4 linked regions of the Arabidopsis thaliana genome follow. The protein of the gene in region 2 interacts with the protein of the main gene of each other region in a pairwise test. Each region holds a gene or a part of one and is shown on either strand. Other genes may lie near its edges. The genes, in order: AT3G22490, HAI1, PYL10 and RCAR3.

Region 1 (4,515 bases), on a different chromosome or scaffold from region 2:
CTGGAATCGTAGAAATTTTCACTGAGACTTCTTAGATCCCAATCAAGCTTCGTTAATGTTAGAAAATTAGCTTAGATCATGGAATATATGTGTTGAGAGTTGATATAAGTAGACGTTGAAACCCTAGTTTGGAGAAATAGCCCTGATTGTTGAAAAGGATGTTAAATTGGTTGTTGTTATCGTTTCTATGTTTGAGTCTCTGTTGCCATAGTTTGAGATTGGAGTATTATGTAGGAGATGATACACTGTTAGTGAACTCATATACGTCTACTTTGTGGAATGTTCTGTGTTGGTTGCTTCTACTTGTATAAGTGTATTTGATGCTATGAGACTGATGGATTCTGAAGGATAAGCTATGTCATTGGTTTAGATGTGGCTGTTGTAGTATTTAGATCTATTTGATGGAAAAGGGCGTGATTGTTCGTGACAAGATAGTGATGGAATGATTGTAGGATTGATCTTGATCTGGTAAAAGCCTTATGCTTCACCATGTTTTGTATTTTATAACTTCTGAGAGAATAATGAATTAAGTATGAATCATTCTTGAGGTAAGATAGTTCTCTGCATTGGTTAAGTGATTAGTATTCTTTCCAATGTGCTTGGAATTGTTTTGTAACAATTGTGTTTTTCGGTTCGTAGTTGTGTCAGATGCAAATGTTTCTCTGAGTGTTGTTGTTTGAGTTTCTTTATTGATTTACTCTCATTTTTTGCTTCAACTATGCAATTCGTGATTTCTTGGATCTAATTTCTGTAGTAGGATCGAAGTAATGGCCAGCAAATCTGGAAGCGGTGGCCTAAGAGAACCGCCGAATGAGCAAGCTGTTTTGAACATGTATGAAGGCAAGAGATCAGAGCTAAGCCAAATCTACTCCAACATAACCGACCTCGAGATGCAAGTGAGCGAACATTCTCTGGTCATTAACGCCATTCAGCCTCTCGACCAATCGAGGAAATGCTTCCGCATGATAGGAGGCGTTCTTGTCGAAAGAACCATCAAAGAGGTACTACCAGCTGTCCAACGTAACAAGGACGGACTTGAAGAGGTTGTGAGGAAGCTATACGAGACATTGGAGAAAAAGAAGAAAGATCTTACAGAGTTTGAAGCTAAGTATAAGATCAGGATAACGAAACAAGAAGATAACAAGGAAGGAGGTAACAAGAAGGAAGGTAATGCTCAAGGTGTTCTTGTTGGAGCTGCCAGTTCAAGCCAGTAAAACTCTATATTTGGCAGTTTGTTTTACTGTTGTATCTCTTTTTTGGATCTTATGGTTAAAAGCCGTAAACTTTGCTGGAAAAAATCAACATGTTTTGAATGTCACAAAACTAGTAGACTGGAGAAATGCCATATTTATGTAGATCCGTTGTGCTAGAGAAAGATTTCAACTTTATAACCGGAAAGTGACCATTTTTTTACATTATGACTGAACTTTTTTGAACAACAGAACCAAAACATCTCCCTCTCGCAGGATTTTTCATATATCAGCTCTCTCGTTAAGCCTAGCGGCGGCAGTAATAGAAGCCGCTACACCACCAGGGTGAGTAGACAAATTAGGATTGTTCCTCAGCTCAGCGCTCACCACTCCCTCTGCGTCCTGCCTGGTCACAGCTTTATCTGCGGCTAACTTCCCGGTCGCACCCTAATAAGCCATCCGGTTCAAACACATTTAGACAATCTTAAAACTAAAACATTAAGACATTGAAGATGTTTTTAAAATTGGGGTTTAACCGCCAAAACATCAATGAGCTTGATTTTATCCTCATCACGGTCTATGGTAGCGTTGTGATTTGCTGCTGATTGAGCAGAAGCGGCGATTCCACCAGGAGCAATCACATTAGTGCCACAAGCTCTAACCTCTGCCGCTTGAATCGCTGCTGCGTCGCTTTGATCCACCGGTTTGTTTCCAGCGGTTTGCACAGTCGCTTCCAATGCTTCTCCAATCGTTATTGCACTTTGTAAACTCAAACCCACAACTTCTGCTTCCATAGCTGCCGCAGTCGCCACTGGCCTAGGCTCGACGTATTGTCCAACGACCTATGACAAATATATCTTCACCATTATAAAACATGATCGTAAGAAAAAAGATGTAATTCTGGATTTGAGTTATGACCTGTCCACCGACGAATTCTGTTGTGACACGTGCACCAGGGACGTCAGTTTGCGCCACTGTGACGCCTCGTTCAGCGGCGAGATCAGTTGTGTCACCTGGATGGACAAAGCCACCGCGTTTATTAGCAGTGGCTGCAGACTGCATGACTGCCGCTGCACCGCCTTTCTGAGTGTGGCCAAACACACGTGTCTCCGCTGCTTGCATCATGTTTGCATCCTCCGGCGCTATAGGCTTATCAGCGAGTTCACCGGAGACTTCAAAAACGTCACCGTAAGTGACTGGCTCTTGTGGCCGCTTTGGTTGTTCTTCTTGACTCATCTCTCTGTTTTGTTATGTTATGTTCCGTTTTGTGTTACATACAAAAGTGACAACAACTCCTATAAAGATAAGAGAGGTGCATGAGTGTGAGAGCAACATTATGAGATTTTGACACTTGTCATTTTGTCAATGACGTGACTAAGAGGCAGGTGTCAGTTTCCAAGTTTATAGCAACCTTAGCAAGATGATGATTCAGACCGACTGAGATAGAGTTTTGTCATTTAGGTTTAAATACTTTTTTCCATGTTTCGTACAACATTGGCCACGTTTCAATATTGAGACAACATAACAACAATGAGCAAAGCTGTTCTGAACATTTCTGAAGCCATGAGATGAGAGCTAATACATACCTACTCCAACATGGCAACATATATAATATAACTGAACTCGAGGTGCAAGTGAGCGAATACTCTCTGGTCATCAACGCCATTAAACCTTTCAACCAATCGAGGAAATGCTCCTGCATGAGAGGAGGCTAGGCGTTGGTCGAGAGAACCGTCAGAGACGTACTCCCACATGTGCAACGCATAAAGGAAGGGATCGAAGAGTTTGTGAAGAAGCTATATATCCGAGACATTGGACAAGAAGAAGAAAGATCGTACAGAATCTGAAGCTAAGTATAACCATCAGGATAAGGAAGCAGGATGATAACAAGGAAGAGGGTAATAAGAAGGAAGGTAATGCTCAAGGTGTTCCAGTAAAAACGCTCTTCTCTTTTGGATTTTTGTTTTACTGTTGTATCTGTATTTGTGGTTTTTTTTGGTTAAAACTCAGATATTTTTAATTGTCACAAACCCCATTGGACTGGAGGAATATCCCATTTATATAGATCAGTAGTGGTAAGTGTTAACTCTCTTAGGAATTATTAGTTCAAAGCAAATCAGCTAAAGAATGGATTTTAACTTCAAACTAAAAAGTCCCCATTATTCATTCCAACATCATCCTTGGGAAGTTTTTAAGCAGTAAGATACAAAAAAGAACAAAAAAGCTAGTCGATTAAATGTCACAAGCTTGTGAACACCATCCTCTCCCCGCCGGATTTTCTAACATATCGGCTAAAGGACCAAAAGCTGTAGACGATTTTACATAACAAGTTTCCTAAGTTGTGAAAGAGAGACGAACAAACAAACAAACAAACAAAAAAAAGAAAGATCATCGATCCTCTCGCCGGATTTGTCTTGTCATATATCAACTCTCTCGTTAAGCCTAGCAGCGACGGTAAGAGAAGCCGCTACACCACCAGGGTGAGTACACAATTTAGGGTTATTCCTCATCTCTGCGCTCACCACTCCCTCGGCATCTTCCCTCGTCACAGCTCTGTCTGCCGATAACTTCCCTGCTGCACCCTATATAATTCATTCGGTTCGAAAACATTTAGCCACTACTTTAAAAGGAAAACATCAAAAACATTGATGAAAATGTTTTGAAAATTAGGGTTTAACCGTCAAAACATCACGAAGCTTGATTTTCCTCTCGTCACGATCTACGGTAGCGTTGTGATCCGCTGCAGATTGAGCTGAAGCGGCGACTCCAGCTAGAGCAATGACGTTGGTACCGGAAGCTCTCATCTCTGCCGCTTGAATCGCTGCGGCGTCGCTTTGATCCACAGGTTTGTTTCCAGCTGTCTTCACAGTTGCTTCCAGTGCTTCTCCAATCGTTATTGTACTTTGCAAAGCTTCTTCGTCCGTACGCGCAGCAGCGACTACACGCCTCGGTTCAACGTGTTGTCCAACGACCTAAAGCTTCACCATTACTCCAAAACAAAAAACGGATATATGAAAAGAAGTACTAGTACTTTTCGAAACAACTTGTGACCTGTCCACCGACGAATTCGGTTGTGACAGTTGCAGCAGGGACCGTTTGCTCCACTGTGGCGCCTCGTTCAGCGACAAGCTCAGTTTTGTCATCTGGATGGACAAAGCCACCGCGTATATTGGTGGTGGCTGCAGATTGCATGACCGCAGCTGGACCGCCTTTCTGAGTATGGCCGAACACATGTGTCTCCGCGGATTGCATCATCTTTGCATCCTCAGGTGCTATGGGCTTATCAGCGAGTTCACCGGAGACTTCAAAAACGTCCCCGTATTTG
Region 2 (6,136 bases):
AATACAAAACTCCCATTTATGTTCATTCATTTACTCAAGAAAAGTTGAATGAGCCTATCCTCAGGACAATATGCAAAATCAAATTTGTCCATAAATCCTAGAAGACATGATTCGATTAAGGCATTCTCATTATCAAGACCGTCGCAATTCTAAAGAATCCAATTAGATCACCAGGTACAATTTTTGATAAGCAGAGAAATGCTACCTCAGAAAGTCGATTTCCGCTCTCAGATTTTCTGATCACTGGGAAATCTGAAATAATGAAGTAGTCAATCAAAATTGCAAAGCTAGTGGAAAAGGAGATGGCAAAACATTGAAATTGGAGATGAATAAAATTACCGGCAGGATTGGGAATTTCACTAAGATCTGGACCTGAAGAAGCTTTGCTTAGCCTTTGAGCTGCTCTCTTTTGACGAATCTCTTCCAACTACAAGATCACAGAAATTAATAACAACAAAAAAGCACCGATGTAAGAAACTGTCTTCAGATGAAGATAAAGACGGCCATATCGGAAATATCCTTACAGTACGGCGACCTAGAGACGCGTGGTGCGATTCCATGGTATGATTCCTCTCCTCGGAATTTCGAACGTCGATTTAACGGTGAGGAAATCGCCGGCGACAAAAATGGAATATATCTATATTTGGGCTTATAGGAGTGTTAAATAGGCCCATGGACATATATAACTCTCTGACCTTGAAAGCGAGCCCAGTTTTTCAATTTCAAAAAGAAAAAAAAAATTGAATAAAAGTTGAAAACAGGATGATAAAAGAAAACCAGTTTCCGACAAAAAAAAAAAAAAAAAAAAAAAACCAGTTTATGCAATTGCAAAGACATTTAAAAGAAAAAAAAACGAGAATGTTCAAAAAAATCGTTAGGCGATAGCTAGGAGTTCGATTCTAAAAAAGTTACCAAAGTTTGGCGGTTGGAAACGGTTGGAAGTTATCAAAGCTTGAATCATCATTTTGATTTCTAAGTACTTTAAACAATGTTCAGTCTTAATGATCGACATCTTCTAATATGTCACATGATAAAGTGTGAACCATACCCGTTTGATGAAGAGTTATATAAACATGTTTTATAGATTATGTTGGCAAAAAAAAAAAAAAAACGTTTTACATAATAAGAAAAAAATGTTATAATATTGAATCCTCCCAATTAACCTTTGAAGTATTCTATACCGATTGTTTGCCTTGTTTAGTTACAAAATACACTTGAAAACAAATTCCTTAGTAAATATTTGGTTCTTTTCCTATTCTTAAAGATATCAGTCTAACATTTCTAATATTCCTATAAACATCGTCCTATATATAACAAAAAATAAATTTAAAAAGGTAAGATTTTGTTATGATCAACTGATTCTATTAAATTTAAAATTAAATTGAACTCAAGTCTTTCACATTTCACGGCTTTTTACCATTTTCACTACTGGTGAAAATCTTTGTAGATCTAAACCGCGATTCAACACAGTGACTGACATAACCCATAGTCAAGCTAAATTAAAAACCCTTCGTTGTCTTACACCGAAGAGCAAAAAAGGTTAAAAGAAAAAGCCCAAAAGTCGATGACTCAGGACAAAAAACAACAAACATTACGAGAGAGACAAATACAACTACGTGTCTCGTCGTAGATCAACCACCACAACACTTACGTTGTCCGAACTTTGTCTAGCCAACGCAAGCCTCGTCAGCAACAGCGACGCCTCCTCACACGCTTTATCTGGCAAATCTCCTCCTCCAACCACCACATTCCCGGCGCCGACACCTGTCATTTCCCTTTCCGGTGATGATGATACTTGACCATTGACTTTTCCTCTCAAACACATTCGAACGACGCTACATGCAGTTTCGTTTGAAACAACGTCCCAAAGACCGTCACTTGCGAGAATAAGAAAATCGTCTCCGTTGGCCCGGTCCGTCACGGTTACCTCCGGTCTGCTGATTACATACGGCTTCAAGTAATTATCTCCTGAAAAAAAAAAAAAAAATCCGCGGCGAAACGAGAGTTAATAATCATCATTATTGAAAGTACGGAAAAACTTTGTACAAACATTAGGATAGGGACAAGAGTGTTTTCGTCAAGTGTAATCAATTAACTGACCAATGGCTCGTGACATTGCAAGTACTCCAAGGACACGTGGGCCATCCCAGTAGATAACACGACCACCCGCTGCTTGAATCCGGTCTAGCTCGTCCGGACGGTCTGGCTGTTACAACAAATTTAAACAAGAGAGAGAGAGAGAATGATATAGTCATTGATAACAGTGACACGAAGGATTAAAGAATCTTAAAACTCATAAACTTTATCAGATCCTCTATCTAAAAAGTAAAAAGTCATTAAACATTCTTAATCGTCGTCCAGGTGTTGCATGCACATTAAAGAAGATTCTAATTTCCAATAAATGAAATAATAAATAAAAAATGCATTAAACAATATTAATAGGTAAGTTTCGAACGCAACACGTAACGAAATTCTCGTTTCATTACAGTGAGTAAACCATAACCGTAGATCTAACGGATAAACATTTAACGATGGATAAACGAAACAAGAGAGATTATCAAAAAACGAACAAAACCTTATGATCGGAGGATAAAGCAATGGCTTTGCCGTTACGACAGAGAACGGCACGTGAGTCACCGCAATTCGCCACGATGATTTTCTCCGGCGTAAGGACAGACACAACCGCAGTGGATCCCACCGCGTCGCAGTCCGGCCTCTGAAGCTCGCACCGGCATTTTGCCGCACCATCGGCGTTCAACGCAACAACCTCCATGTCCATGCGCGTGAAGCTACGCGCCATTGACTTTTCCCAGTCAGCATCAGCTTCAAACTCTTCACGGACTAGCTCGTGTAGTCTTTCTCTACATTTCATCGCTACCTAAACATCATATTATTAAAATTAAAAACCGACGTCGTAACGGTCAATTAAAGGATAATTTTTATAATAAAACGACGTCGTACATGGGAACAGCCATGGCCATCGTAAACGCCGCAATAGTGAAATCCGGTGGATGAATATTCCGTCTGATGACGGGAAAAAAACGGATGCACAGCGACGGCGTCTTCCATTTCACGTCTTCTTCCACAGACTGAAGCGACGCCGTATTTAGGATAAGCTTCAGGATCAGGCAATGCCACAACCGTTGAACTAAGAGACTCGCATAGGACGACAACTTCCTTCGCCGTTTCGTAAAACACGGTGGAGGTGGAGGCTGCGACGGTGGATTCTCTTCTCCTCCGCCTCTGTAAGTCACCGTCGACGAAGACAGGTTCTTGTTCGCCGGAAACAAACTTAAACCTCCGGATCTCCATTCTCCTTCTTCTCGCTGCTTGAGACGAGCTCCGTTCTCGTCTCCTCGTTGTCGTCGTTGCCTTCTTCACCACCGTCGCCGTCGTTTCAATCATCATAGTCTCGTTCTCGTAACAAATCTCAGCCATGTGATCGTCAAAACTATTCAACAAACACACTCCATCACTCTCCCCCGAAAAAAAACTAGTGAACGAGACACAGGAGAGAGAAGAAGAAGAGAAGCTTAAACAAGATTAGCCATGGAAGCTTTATATTAGCTTCTTTCACCAGAAGATATAAATAAATATAATCATCTTTATATTTACGGGCAGATGACCGAGACTTTTGAACGGGCAGATCAAAACTCAAAATCAAAATGAAGGAATGAAGAAGAGGAGATTGTTGAATGGCGTGACGTATCGCTCCTCTATCTGGACGACGAAATCTTGACCGTTGATTGTGTCCACGTGTAAAACGTACTTCTCCTAAATCGCGATACGAAACACTTACGTGCACCAATCAAAGTCTAACACTACTCAGACCTAAAGTGAAAAAGAACCTTTGATGACACGCATGCGATCTCTAAACCTCTTTTTTTTTTTTTAAGATTTTTACCAAGTTTTGTTGTGGAAATTTACCTTACCATTTTAATTTGTTTTACTATAAATACAACTAATTACGTCATCACTTTCATCACAACTTACTATTACATATGGAAATCAACCAATAGTTTGTTTTTCTTTCAATCATTTAATATAACATGAGATCTCTTAACCTCTTATTTTATAGATTCTTACCATATTTTGTTGTGTAAATTTATTACCACTTCCATTTGTTTTACTATAAACTATCACTAATTACGTCATCACTGCTAATCAATTCAATAGAAAGGTTGGAAACAAATAATCTTTTTATCTGAGTGAAAACTAAGATGGTGTTTTAGGCTTTTAGCTGGTGATGACGATTCATCGCGTTTGTTTCATTGTGAGCGTGACAATACGGTATATATCATCGTTTCTAAAGTTTGGTGTGTTCAAGGACAAATTATTATAGAAAAAATTGACCATCTGCGACTACGAAACATAAGAGAAAAATGTGATAATTGTAGAATATGTCACTACAAATATAACCTTGGTGCGTGAATACTTCTTAGAAACAATTTGAGACTGCATATGCTTTTTTTTTTAATTAGAACAATTTCTTATTTGCTAGAAAAGTAAGTTCAAATTTGTGAGTTATCATTTCAACACTTGTTTTGTTTCGTTTGTTTTACTTGTCTGGTCTATTAGTTTTGTTCTGCATTTGTTCCATTTGTTTCATCCCTTTTTTTATGCTGCAAGTGCAAACAGTCAGAGTTTTCAAATAAATATATTTAAGAGATTTTATATGGGCCGGGGAACTAATATTCAAAGATTTTAAAGGATATCTTACCTAGTTTTACAATTGAGATGATGAAAATGAATTTGAAAACTTATTCATGGTTTTAATCTTGACAAGTGTCCGGAATATTCAATGATTTATAATCGTGCAATCTTATGACTTATCAGACAGTTCTAAACTAATTTTACATCTATTTTTAAAATATCACCATCTTATGTTTGACATTACAATTTTCTTAGTTGATAAGTAGCATTTTGTGAATACAATAAAAGTGAACATCATTCTCCAATGTTTGACACAATATTGGGTTTTTGGGAATTTAAAATAAAAGCAACTGAAAAACAGAAATGATCATACGTTCTACATTGGACAATGGACATGTTAAATTCGAGTGAACTATATATTATACACTTATAATTTTCTTTTGTGGGCAAAAATTATAAGATATTCAATCAACAATTAGAAATAAACAAAATATAACGTTTTCAATTCTAAATCAATCAGGAATGACATCCAATGAGATACAAGTACGTAGATGGGTTTTGGTGGAAACTGGGGACCACTTCTCTATTACTAACATTTAACAACGTTGACCCCTCTCTGACCTGTTTTCTTCCTCGATGTTCGACACGTGTTTACATTCTCTACTTTTATGTCTTGACCAAGATTTTTTCTGTGTCAACATTCGTTTACTATGCATTAAGTAGGATCGAGAGTTGTAATTTGGGCTTTAACTGTTACTTACGTTACGCCGATGAATCTTATGTTTATGTAATGTGATGATGATATTTTAGTTAGTTAGTATTAATACAAAAATAATTCATAACCTAACTAAAATTAAGGAAAGAAAGAGAGAAGCTCAGCTTTTCGCGGAAAATTCTCTGGGACGTGGCGGCAAGCAATAGGATGATGATTTGAATTATGTGAGTCCCACATCACAGAACAAAACAAAATCAAAAGGTTGAAAAAAAACGAAGCGCGTGTGTAACACATGACACGTGTCCTCTGAAGCTGCATAGCAGTTGCCAGGTTTTTGAAGTTGACAGTAGGCAAATACATTGTGCCACGTGAAAGCTTCATCTTTCTTTCAAATATTATTATTATTAAAATTTAACCTGAAAACAAATTCGTCATCGACCAACAAGTCACTAACCATCACTTTCAAATCTTATGTAAAAATATAAGGTGAAAATTAGTTCCATTAAAATCTATGTTACTTTTGTTGTTTGTTTAGTGATTTCAATATATATATATAAATGTTGGTTAACTATATCATTTGATACTTGATAGGAATACGAAAAAATAAAATTATAACTGAAACATGGTTAGTTACTTTAGTAGGTGGTTGGAGAGCTTTCGGTAAGGAGACAATATATTGTCCTAGCTAGTTTGATTAATTATCTCGTCTTTGTTTTGTAACTTTGAATTGAAATCTTACCAATTTGTCGTTGGAATTTCCACATCACA
Region 3 (4,352 bases), on a different chromosome or scaffold from region 2:
TCAGTCTCAGTCTAGATTCTGTGTTTCATAACAGGAACACAAAGATCAAGCTTAGATGCCAATATGGATTTGCTAGAGTCTTCTTCAAGACTCTTTTGCTCTCCGAGCAGCGCATAGAGCCATTCAACATCACCTCTCCAGAGAAAAAGCCTCTGACGCTGCTGATGTTTGATCTTTCTCAACATCTCTGGAACTTTGAGGACGTACAGATCATAACAGAATTCCAGATGAGAGCATCTTGGGTTTACCTTAAACTAAACCGTAAATTTAACTAATATCAATTGTTATTAATCTTTTATATATATATATATATATATATATATTAGTATATGAAAACATGAAATAAATTCTTATATCATATTATTTAATTTTTATACTTTAATCAAATCTAAAAGTTCATTAAAATTCTATTAATTTTATGTTTATACATAAGTTTATACGATTTATATAATTTAATTTAAATAAGTTATTTATGTGAGTTTGATATACTTTGTACCTAATTAAATTGAAATTATTTAATTAATAAGTTCAAACATGTCAAAAAATTTAGAAAGAATTAATGCATGATTATAAATTCTTAAATACATTAAATTAAATAAGAAATGTAATTCATATGTTGATGTGATAAGTGTCACTCTATCTAATGCTGATATGTCGAAAAAATGGAGAGAGTTGAAAAAACTTTCATAAATATGATTTTGCATGTGTCATGATATGTTATTTATATTTTCATGTGGAAATGTTAAAAATAAAAAAGCATTTCATATAAACACTTACAAATTTGAATTTATATTTCTCGTTTGACAGCTATTCGAAATCATTTCGTTACAAACTTCCAATAATATACAAACATTCAGAAAATGGAAATAGAAGAAGAAAAAACATAGACATTGCTATAAAAGGGAAGAGTTATTTCTCTTCTTTGGTCTTTTTCCTTCTTTTCCGAATGAAAAGATTCTCAAGTCACATCTCATATCTTCTTCTCCATAGATTCTGCTTGTAGACGCTCGGTAACATCTGCTAAAGAATTGAGATTGCATTGAATCAAAGCCTCCACGAAGAAGCATGTCTCCTCCTTTGTGTTACCTTCCGGCACATCCACCACGAACGATTCTATAGCCAATGTCCCTGTTTTTCCGTCTATCGTCTCCGAATGTAACGAAATGGTTGAAGAATAATTCTGATTGGACAAATAACAAATTAAGCTCTAAAAAAAACAATAATCTTGTCGGAATGAATGGTACATTTAAGGAAATTTCAATTTACCTTGAGTCTATGATCACCACCAACTATTCTGATGCCGAGAATATGCTCATTGTCGTCAAGAATCTCTAATACCTCAGTGCTTTTAGTAGCTGGTAATCCAGATTTCAAATCCACTTCTCTTACGCTACCAACCTCCAGCTTCTTACCTTGTACCACACACCTACTGATAAATGGTTTGTATTTTTGTGGTTCATCGAATCTCCTCACAATTGACCACACCTTTTCCAAACAAAACAAATCATTTAACATCTCAAAAATCGTTATCTTTAACACTTGAAAAACAGAGCAAAGCAAAGCTTACGAGATGCAGAGGAGCTTTGATGTGCTTAACGAGCGTAGAGCTACATTGAGACTCTACAAGCTCGTGTCTATGGTGTTTCTTGATGTACTCGCTCTCCACCTTCTTTGTTTCGTCACCGTTCATCGTTATCTTAAATAGCAGCAATTTAAATAATTTTGATTAGACAAAAATTATTCGTGCCTTTAGTTTTTTTTTTTTTTCACTCAATAGTAGAACCACTGTACCAGTGTGCAGCTATTTAAAGGATGCTCTTTTATATTGACGAATATAGCCTTCCAAGTTTCTATGAGTGAATTCATTTTTAACTTATATCTGTATTCCCATTATCTTGGATTATGATCCGACATGTCAAGTACAGATGGACGGATTGTAAACATTAATGTGGAGGATTGTAACATTATTTTTTCCTATTTCTTTGAAAAATATCTCTCTATCAAATGCTTTAAGTTTAACACATAACCACAAAATCTTTAGAATGTTTCAGAATTGCTCATATACAGTTTGACACCGAAACATTTTTTCTTATGGGAATTGTTATCCGTTATGCAATTTACCTTGTGTGGCTTTGAACATATCTGAAGTATAGATAAGAGTCAATCCATATTCGCATCAATTGGGCCGTCAAAAACGCTTAAAAGTGTTTTAAGAAAACCATTACGAGATCTTTTATCAGCAGCAAACTACAATTCGTCTGACATGGCACTTGACGAAAGCACGATTCATAAACCGGCGCGAAAGGAAAATCAATTCCCAATTGAATTGACTCATCACCTTCGCGGTATAACCGTAGTAAACCGATGGTTATAGGGTAAAACGGTCACAACAGTTGGAATTATCCCAAGTTTTCTGCTCAAGTCTCGTTGAAATGAACAAAATGAATGAAATTGAATTCTTTTGAGGATAATGGTGACACAAACGAGTTTGTCTATACAGAGAGGCAGAAGAGATCAGACTTGGATCACTTAGCTTTTCTCTCTACCTATAAATCTATTGTTTTTGGAGCAAAAAGAGACAATCTTGCTTTGGCCTTTTCTTCTTGGTGTTGTAGCCTGTGAAGTAAACTTAGAGGATCTATACCTTTCTATTCTAATTCATGAATTTCCTGCAGTTAGGGGCTTTACATAAGCATGGCACCTTGAGTTCCTCTGCCTCGTCTGGATCAAATAAGTAATCATACCTGCCAAAACACCACACAACATTTCTTAAACTATGACAATCAATCAGCTTTAGATTGAAGAATGGTATATATAGAAATGCGTTGTGTACGTTAACTCCTCTCCCACAGCTACATTGGCCTTGGCTATCAGGACAATCCTGCTTTCCTCATCTCCTACACTCATAATCCTCGCATAGCAGTTTGGTGTACACTACACACCACGTATTTTGATTTAGGCTTTAACAGTCTGTCAAATTTCTTGTACGTAAAAAGTCCATGCCAAGCAGCTTACCGAATGATTGATGAGCCGAGCTATATTCCCTTTATCTGTAGCATCAACCACTACTTCTTCACTGATCTTGAAAAGCTGCAACATAAATCCTTCTTTTGGTTAAGAGAGATAGAGAGAGAAGAGACAATTTGTGAAGATAAAATGGAAACTTTTTCAACTCACATAGCAATCCTTTCCTACTCTGCGATAACGTGCTTCTCTCAAGTCTGCAATGCTACCTCTCACCTGTTCCCCTCTGTATTCAAGAACCTGAAATACAATAGCACCTCTCGACAATAAACACTCCCCTCATCCCAAATAGACCAAACACAATATCACAAATGGGTCTGCTGACATACCATTTCTCCTTCTTGGATATTTCTTCTTGCAAAAAGACCCCATCCATGAATTCCAGATCGCCCAAAGCAGACCCGATCCATTTCTGTCCTCTGTTACATTAAACATACACATGTTACAGCCGATAATATCAAAAAATAAAACCTGAACATTCCAATCTCGTTCAAACATCAGAGAATTCTTGCCTGCAAGTGGTGAAGTCGTTCCCTGAAAGAAGAAAACGATTTGGGTTCTTCTGGCACATGCTACACATAATACAACCCAGAAATGTCAGATCCAAAAAATAATAGTAAGAAACGGAGTAGAAGAACTGCATGGAGACTTTCTTACTCTGAATGTGTTTAAAGTTTGGATTGCTGCTGATGCATGATGGCGTGGTCCCCTTGTGTGGTGAGGAATGGCTTCTTCTTCAATCCTCTACAAAACAAAGATCAGCCTACTGGACAAAGGAGATGTGCAACGAAACATACAGACTTTTTGTGGATAAGACCCAATATTACCTTCTTGCTATTGATCTTTCTTTTAAATACTCGACAACGAGCAGCAGAAAATGGATCACATGTAATGGTATTCTCTGCAGGTGCTTCATCGTCTTCTCTGATTAATGAAATAAGCCTGGAACCACCTTTCTTCTTGTTTTGGACAAGACTCTTTGCAGAGAAGGCTCCTGAAGGAGTTTGTATAATTAACACGTTATCTGGGTTGGGAGCCCTACACACCAAAAACAATAGATAAAACTTATAAATCATAAACCAACATCGTAACACCAAAAATTCTTTAAGCAGAGTTCTGAGAAATTTCACCTGTGATAAGCACAATAGGACACCATCTTTGTTATCTGCTGACCATTTTTCTCCAAGCAGTGCAACTACATACAAAATGCATGGAAATATGCCTATTTAAATGGAGTAAGATAATAAATTGCAAAGGAAAAAAAAAACTCAAGTTCCTTTAAGTAAAGATTAAAAACACATTATCTATCGGAAACCAGTTTCACTTTA
Region 4 (5,361 bases), 2.3 Mb from region 2:
AGGCACTGAGAGTCGGGTTGCAAATGGAAGGCAAACTCAACACCTTCCTTGACCACACTCAAAATCTCCGATATACATTCCTGAGAGCCCACCTGCAAGCTCCAAGCCCAATCTTAAAAAGAAACTATGGGTATCCAATTTTTTTTTTTTGTGTACTTTAATCTTGAGGTAGTAGTATTTTCGAGAATACTTTAGCACGTTACAAAGTTAGCAACGAATTTTCTTTTTCTAGATATGACTTATAAGAGCCAAACCTTTTTATGTTATAGAAATCTTTGTCACTTTGAGATACTTTTATTCAGGATTTAATAAAGAGTGTTGGATAAAGCACGTGGGACCTTTTGCTCTCTCGAGATTGGCTCTTCGAGTCAGGAAAAGTTAAGACTGTGAAGCAAACCCTATATATGATACTGTATACAATATATTTTTTGGATAAAGGATTGTGTAAATTAAATGATCAAACTATATACTTACTATTCTGGCCTTAGTGGTTATAAGATACTAATATTATACTGTAAATGATCAAAACAAGATACTATTGTCAGAATGCGAAAAAATAAAGCGAAGTCCAACTTAATAGTTTACGAACTTTTACTTCATATTATGAGTCGAATGAGAGTGAATACTGGAATTGGTGATGATGCAGAAAACCGGATTAGACGAAACAAAGAGAACATAATACAAATCATTGGTATGGAACTGACAAAACGTACGAAACAATCGATGTTAAATGGTTAGAATAAAATTTGGATGATAACCATAATAACTGCAGTGCATGTATAATCATTAAATTTTAGCTATTTTTAATACTTGGAATAATAGATGTTTACTATTTTTATCATATACCTAAAGAAGTTCTTGTAATTTGTACTTAGTACCTGATTTGTCGTTCTAATCCTAAAAAAAGATTTGGTCCTTTGTAGTTTGCTTCAAAGGCCCCGAATCTGCATTGATCATGGTCTGGCTCGGGGGTGTTAAGCACACTTTTAACTAGTGATTATATGTCTAATTGGGACATCAATATACCTCCATGCACCTAGTAATGTGACCATCCGTATAATATGTGTACTATCTCTTCTTCAGCTAAAGGTTAACGAGCATAATCTGGTTAAGCCCTATGTTTGGTTTGCATTATAACAATCTCTCTGAAATTTTGTAGTATTTTCATCAATTTAAATTAGTATATTTTCGACAATTTGAATTGTTCTTTGAGTCTGATCACAGTCAAGTACACGAACTATATGCTGATCTGATCGAATTCATTCTACTATATACACACACATACACAAACATTTTACAGTACACCACTAATACTATAATCCCAATAACAAGAAAACCTAAAATATAAGTACACATTAACAAAAGAAAACAGTTTGCAAGTTATTAAGTGGTTTTTGGATTTGGTTTATAGTTTTTAGATTTTTGCATTAATTATATATATATATATATATATATATATATATATATATATATATATATATATTTGAAACTAAATATGAAAAAGTTATAGCGTTAAAAAGTGAAAAACCAATGAAACATAGATTTTAGATTTCCTTTAAAAATCTAGATTCCTTATTTTTATAAGGAAAACCATTTCTCCCAATCTTAATTGGCTATAAAGTAGATTTTTGGAAAAAACTTAAGCCATAAACAATTTCAAAAAATCTATAACCATTTCAAAATCTTTAATCCTTTTTTTTTTTTGTCAAAACAAGTCTTTTATCCAAATGAAAAAGCACCCAAGAAAAAAAAAAAAAAAACTATCCAATAATTGAGTCAGCTCTCATAGGCTTAAACAATACTTTAAGGATCAACATTAAATAATTACCACACTTGAGGGGTAAAACTAAAAACGGTAAATAAAACACAGAAAAACGACAACGAGGGGCAAAATCGAAAATAAAGAGAAAATAGTGGGATAATAGAAGAAAGCATCCAATGAGAGTAGTGAAATCAGAGAAAGACCTTTACTCCTTTAGTCCAATACCATCCAATCAATCTTTTTCTTTTTTTTTATAAAAATCTCTCACTGAGTCTTTTTATTTAAATATTATAAAAAGGAGAGAGAAAAAAAGTTTGTTGGAGGATTCGTCTCTCTCTCTCTCTCTTTCTCTTTCTCTCATCTTCTTCTTATCTCCCTCCAAAGACGGCGACTGTATAATCTATCATTTCTTCACAGTAACGCTTTCATCGGAAGATCTCGCCGGAAAAAAACTTCTCTCTGAGATCAGATCTCTTACGATTCTCAGCTCAATCTTATCTTTTCCTTTGTTGTGCTGCTTTTCACTCTCTTCTGCGCGACGAATTTGGCCTTGTTTTTTGTTTGTTTGTCGTATCCGACGCGGAGGTATTGAGAAACCGTGGCTTAAGACGGAGGAAGAAGATGGAAGCTAACGGGATTGAGAACTTGACGAATCCGAATCAGGAAAGAGAGTTTATAAGGAGACATCATAAGCATGAGCTTGTGGATAATCAGTGTAGCTCTACGCTTGTTAAACATATCAACGCTCCTGTTCATATTGTAAGCTTCTCCCTTCTTCTTCTTCCTTCATGCGCTCTGATTTTCTCTGTTTAAGTTAATCGGTTCTTCTTATTGTTGATTCAATCCAGAATTTGAAATCTCTCTCTATTTTCATCGATTGTTGATCTTACTGATGAAGAATCGATTGGTTTCTAATTATTGAAAGCTTACATAGCATTTGTGTAATCCCAATCTGAGTTTGTTTGATCTGGTTTTGCTTTATTGGAAAAAAAAGCTCCCAAAAACGCTTATGGATTAGTTTGAATCTCTCTGGTGAATAGGTGTGGTCACTTGTGAGAAGATTTGATCAGCCACAGAAGTATAAGCCGTTTATCAGTAGATGTGTGGTGAAAGGAAACATGGAGATTGGTACAGTAAGAGAAGTTGATGTGAAATCTGGACTACCAGCAACTAGAAGCACTGAGAGATTGGAGTTACTTGATGACAATGAGCATATTCTCAGTATCAGAATCGTTGGTGGTGATCATAGACTTAAGGTAATCAATGAATCAAAAGGTTCGTTTTCTGTTTACAGTGAATCAAAGACTTATATGTTCTATATTGTTTTTGGATTTAGAACTATTCTTCAATCATCTCTCTTCACCCCGAGACTATAGAAGGAAGAATAGGAACACTTGTGATTGAGTCATTTGTGGTTGATGTACCAGAAGGAAACACAAAGGATGAGACTTGTTACTTTGTTGAAGCTTTAATCAAATGCAATCTTAAATCTTTAGCTGATATCTCTGAACGTCTTGCGGTTCAAGACACGACAGAATCGAGAGTCTAAAGATCAAAGGAGTAAGAAACTATTGAATCAGAGAGATTTTGGTTGCCATGGATGAAGCTCTCAAAGGGAAAAAGAGAGAGTGGGTGAGTTTCTTTGAGGATGGACAAGGCAAAAAAAGTATCATCATTTATCCAGTTACATAATAAGTTTCTCATTTGCTATTTTTGGGGTCATTTCACTTTCAAACCCTCTTTTTAATTTCATGTGTCTAATTTAATGAATGTGTTTTTGGTTTCTTCTCTATAGAACCAAAATATGATTTTGGAGTTTAGCTTTAGCAACTTGCAGGAATCTTTTTACAATTTGCAGAGAAGACATGTTAAAAGTGTGTGTGATCATGGGGTTCCACTCTCTTCTTCCTTTTTTAACACTTTTAGTTGCACCCATAAAGGCCACACACCGTCTTTCTTATATTTATTTTTTCTACTTTTAAAGATGAACCAATAGGGTTTGTGAGATGTGAAAAATCTCCACAAAGGACCATTAAGGAAAGAGATCTTTGTTGTTGTTTATAGATTTTGTCTTGACTTGTGATTGGGGAAACACACTTTAGCTCCATTAGCTGTAAAAAGTTTTGTATACTATTTTTACAATGCCAAAGTGTTTCTGTTTCTTTTTTCCTAAATTACAGTAGTGGATAAATATTCGAATCGGTCACATTGACAGGTGGTATCATTAGAATTGCTTCTATATGTTTTCTTTCAATTTTGTTCCAAACAATACATGTAATTTCATCAGAGGACCTTGTAAGCTGCAATAAGATTCATTGGCTTTCAAAATCACATCAGAGAATAAAGACAACAATTATTACTTTCTTTTCAATGTTGTTTTACATTTTTCTTCATAGAATTGAACAGAATGTCAAAAAGGGCAAAAGGTTCAAGGTCGAAGCGAAAACTAATGAGCTAATGAAATAAAAACTACAATAATTTTGTAACATGAGATCAATAATTTCATATGTTTTTCTTTTGGTTGTTGTTGTAGAAGCTATGGGAGATTTACTCTGTACAAAGCTTTGAATCTCCCTTTTTCACCCAAAGAAGTGTGTTTATGGTAATGAATGATGTGATTAGGCCAATACCAAGTCTCCTTCTTCTTGTTGTTGCTCTTCAAATTTCTCGCCTTCCTGCTTTGGAAGGAGAATACGCTTTATGTCCTCTGCGGTTAGCGTTTCATACTCTAGAAGTGCGTTTGCTAACGTGTGTAGCTGCTTCTCATGCTGGGGAAACACACACACACACACACACACACACACACACAAAATCGAAGTGAGATTAAACAATTTTGATCCAGTAAAAAATGCGACTATCTGTAAACTTGGCACAAACCCGTTTCAAGAGAGATTTCACTCTCTCATATGCTTCTCTAAGAAGCTTCACAACCTATACATGTATCAACACCACCAGATGAATGATTAGATTTAGGACCAATGGGATTTGAATGAGGGAACTAAAAAAAGTGAATAGAGAGTCTCTACCTCGGCATCAATGCGTGATTGCATATCAGAGCTTGGTCTTTCTTTTATATGAACTGGTCCTATTGCCTCACTCATCCCACAACTCGATACCTTCCATTAAAAAGAAAAGCATTACTACAACTACAACAAGAGGTAAGATCCATCTTCTCGCATTAACTTGTAAGTTCACCTTAAGGATCTCAGAGACTAAGTCCCTCAAACCTCATTCCAGAAAACTAAAAGAACCAAAGGCTAACTCTTTTGATAAACCAGAAAAAAAGAAGCAATTAAGCACATGTACATGAGGTTACCATGTATTGTGCAAGTTCAGTGGCCTGTGACAGATCGCTACTCGCTCCAGTGGTAATATGGTCCAAGCCAAAGATGAGCTCCTCTGCAACTCTTCCTCCCATACATACATCGAGACGAGCTAATAACTGCCTCTTGCTCACTGATGTTTCATCGTTTGAAGGTAACTGTGTAACCATTCCCAATGCAGATCCACGTGGCATTATAGTCGCTTTGTGGATCGGGTGCGCACCTTTCGTATTTAAAGCGACAATAGCATGACCACTCTCATGGTATGCAGTGAGC

Evidence for each region.
Region 1: the proteins of HAI1 (region 2) and AT3G22490 interact in binary tests that used the Arabidopsis thaliana proteins (3 or more experiments, as listed by UniProt).
Region 3: the proteins of HAI1 (region 2) and PYL10 interact in binary tests that used the Arabidopsis thaliana proteins (3 or more experiments, as listed by UniProt).
Region 4: the proteins of HAI1 (region 2) and RCAR3 interact in binary tests that used the Arabidopsis thaliana proteins (3 or more experiments, as listed by UniProt).

What each region holds. Positions count from the first base shown.
Region 1 is NC_003074.8:7,968,313-7,972,827, forward strand, and holds AT3G22490 (Seed maturation protein), read right to left. Parts: upstream 2,532-4,515; 5' UTR 2,427-2,531; coding exon 2,109-2,426; intron 2,033-2,108; coding exon 1,727-2,032; intron 1,638-1,726; coding exon 1,473-1,637; 3' UTR 1,369-1,472; downstream 1-1,368. Other genes in the region: PDF2 (prefoldin 2), read left to right, coding at 768-1,214; ATECP31 (Seed maturation protein), read right to left, coding at 3,608-3,772, 3,869-4,162, 4,242-4,515. UniProt on the Arabidopsis thaliana protein: LEA proteins are late embryonic proteins abundant in higher plant seed embryos. The function of those proteins is not known. Promotes germination rate. Enhances cation toxicity (e.g. lithium ion) and osmotic stress (e.g.
Region 2 is NC_003076.8:23,893,060-23,899,195, forward strand, and holds HAI1 (PP2C protein (Clade A protein phosphatases type 2C)), read right to left. Parts: upstream 3,881-6,136; 5' UTR 3,439-3,880; coding exon 2,962-3,438; intron 2,879-2,961; coding exon 2,576-2,878; intron 2,207-2,575; coding exon 2,101-2,206; coding exon of another isoform or gene 2,078-2,100; exon of another isoform or gene 1,969-2,077; coding exon 1,613-1,968; 3' UTR 1,345-1,612; downstream 1-1,344. Other genes in the region: AT5G59210 (myosin heavy chain-like protein), read right to left, coding at 206-252, 340-427, 525-560. UniProt on the Arabidopsis thaliana protein: Acts as a negative regulator of abscisic acid (ABA) signaling for stomatal closure in leaves, and controls water loss during leaf senescence. Activated by the NAC029/NAP transcription factor during ABA signaling in senescing leaves.
Region 3 is NC_003075.7:13,898,558-13,902,909, reverse strand, and holds PYL10 (PYR1-like 10), read right to left. Parts: upstream 1,769-4,352; 5' UTR 1,691-1,768; coding exon 1,568-1,690; intron 1,486-1,567; coding exon 1,267-1,485; intron 1,181-1,266; coding exon 971-1,180; 3' UTR 910-970; downstream 1-909. Other genes in the region: SDG16 (SET domain protein 16), read right to left, coding at 2,654-2,744, 2,834-2,934, 3,016-3,090, 3,178-3,264, 3,354-3,443, 3,537-3,596, 3,682-3,768, 3,852-4,062 and 1 more. UniProt on the Arabidopsis thaliana protein: Receptor for abscisic acid (ABA) required for ABA-mediated responses such as stomatal closure and germination inhibition.
Region 4 is NC_003076.8:21,558,643-21,564,003, forward strand, and holds RCAR3 (regulatory components of ABA receptor 3), read left to right. Parts: upstream 1-1,958; 5' UTR 1,959-2,383; coding exon 2,384-2,521; intron 2,522-2,802; coding exon 2,803-3,018; coding exon of another isoform or gene 3,019-3,098; coding exon 3,099-3,311; 3' UTR 3,312-4,067; downstream 4,068-5,361. Other genes in the region: FTSH11 (FTSH protease 11), read right to left, coding at 4,381-4,530, 4,640-4,693, 4,789-4,878, 5,079-5,360. UniProt on the Arabidopsis thaliana protein: Receptor for abscisic acid (ABA) required for ABA-mediated responses such as stomatal closure and germination inhibition.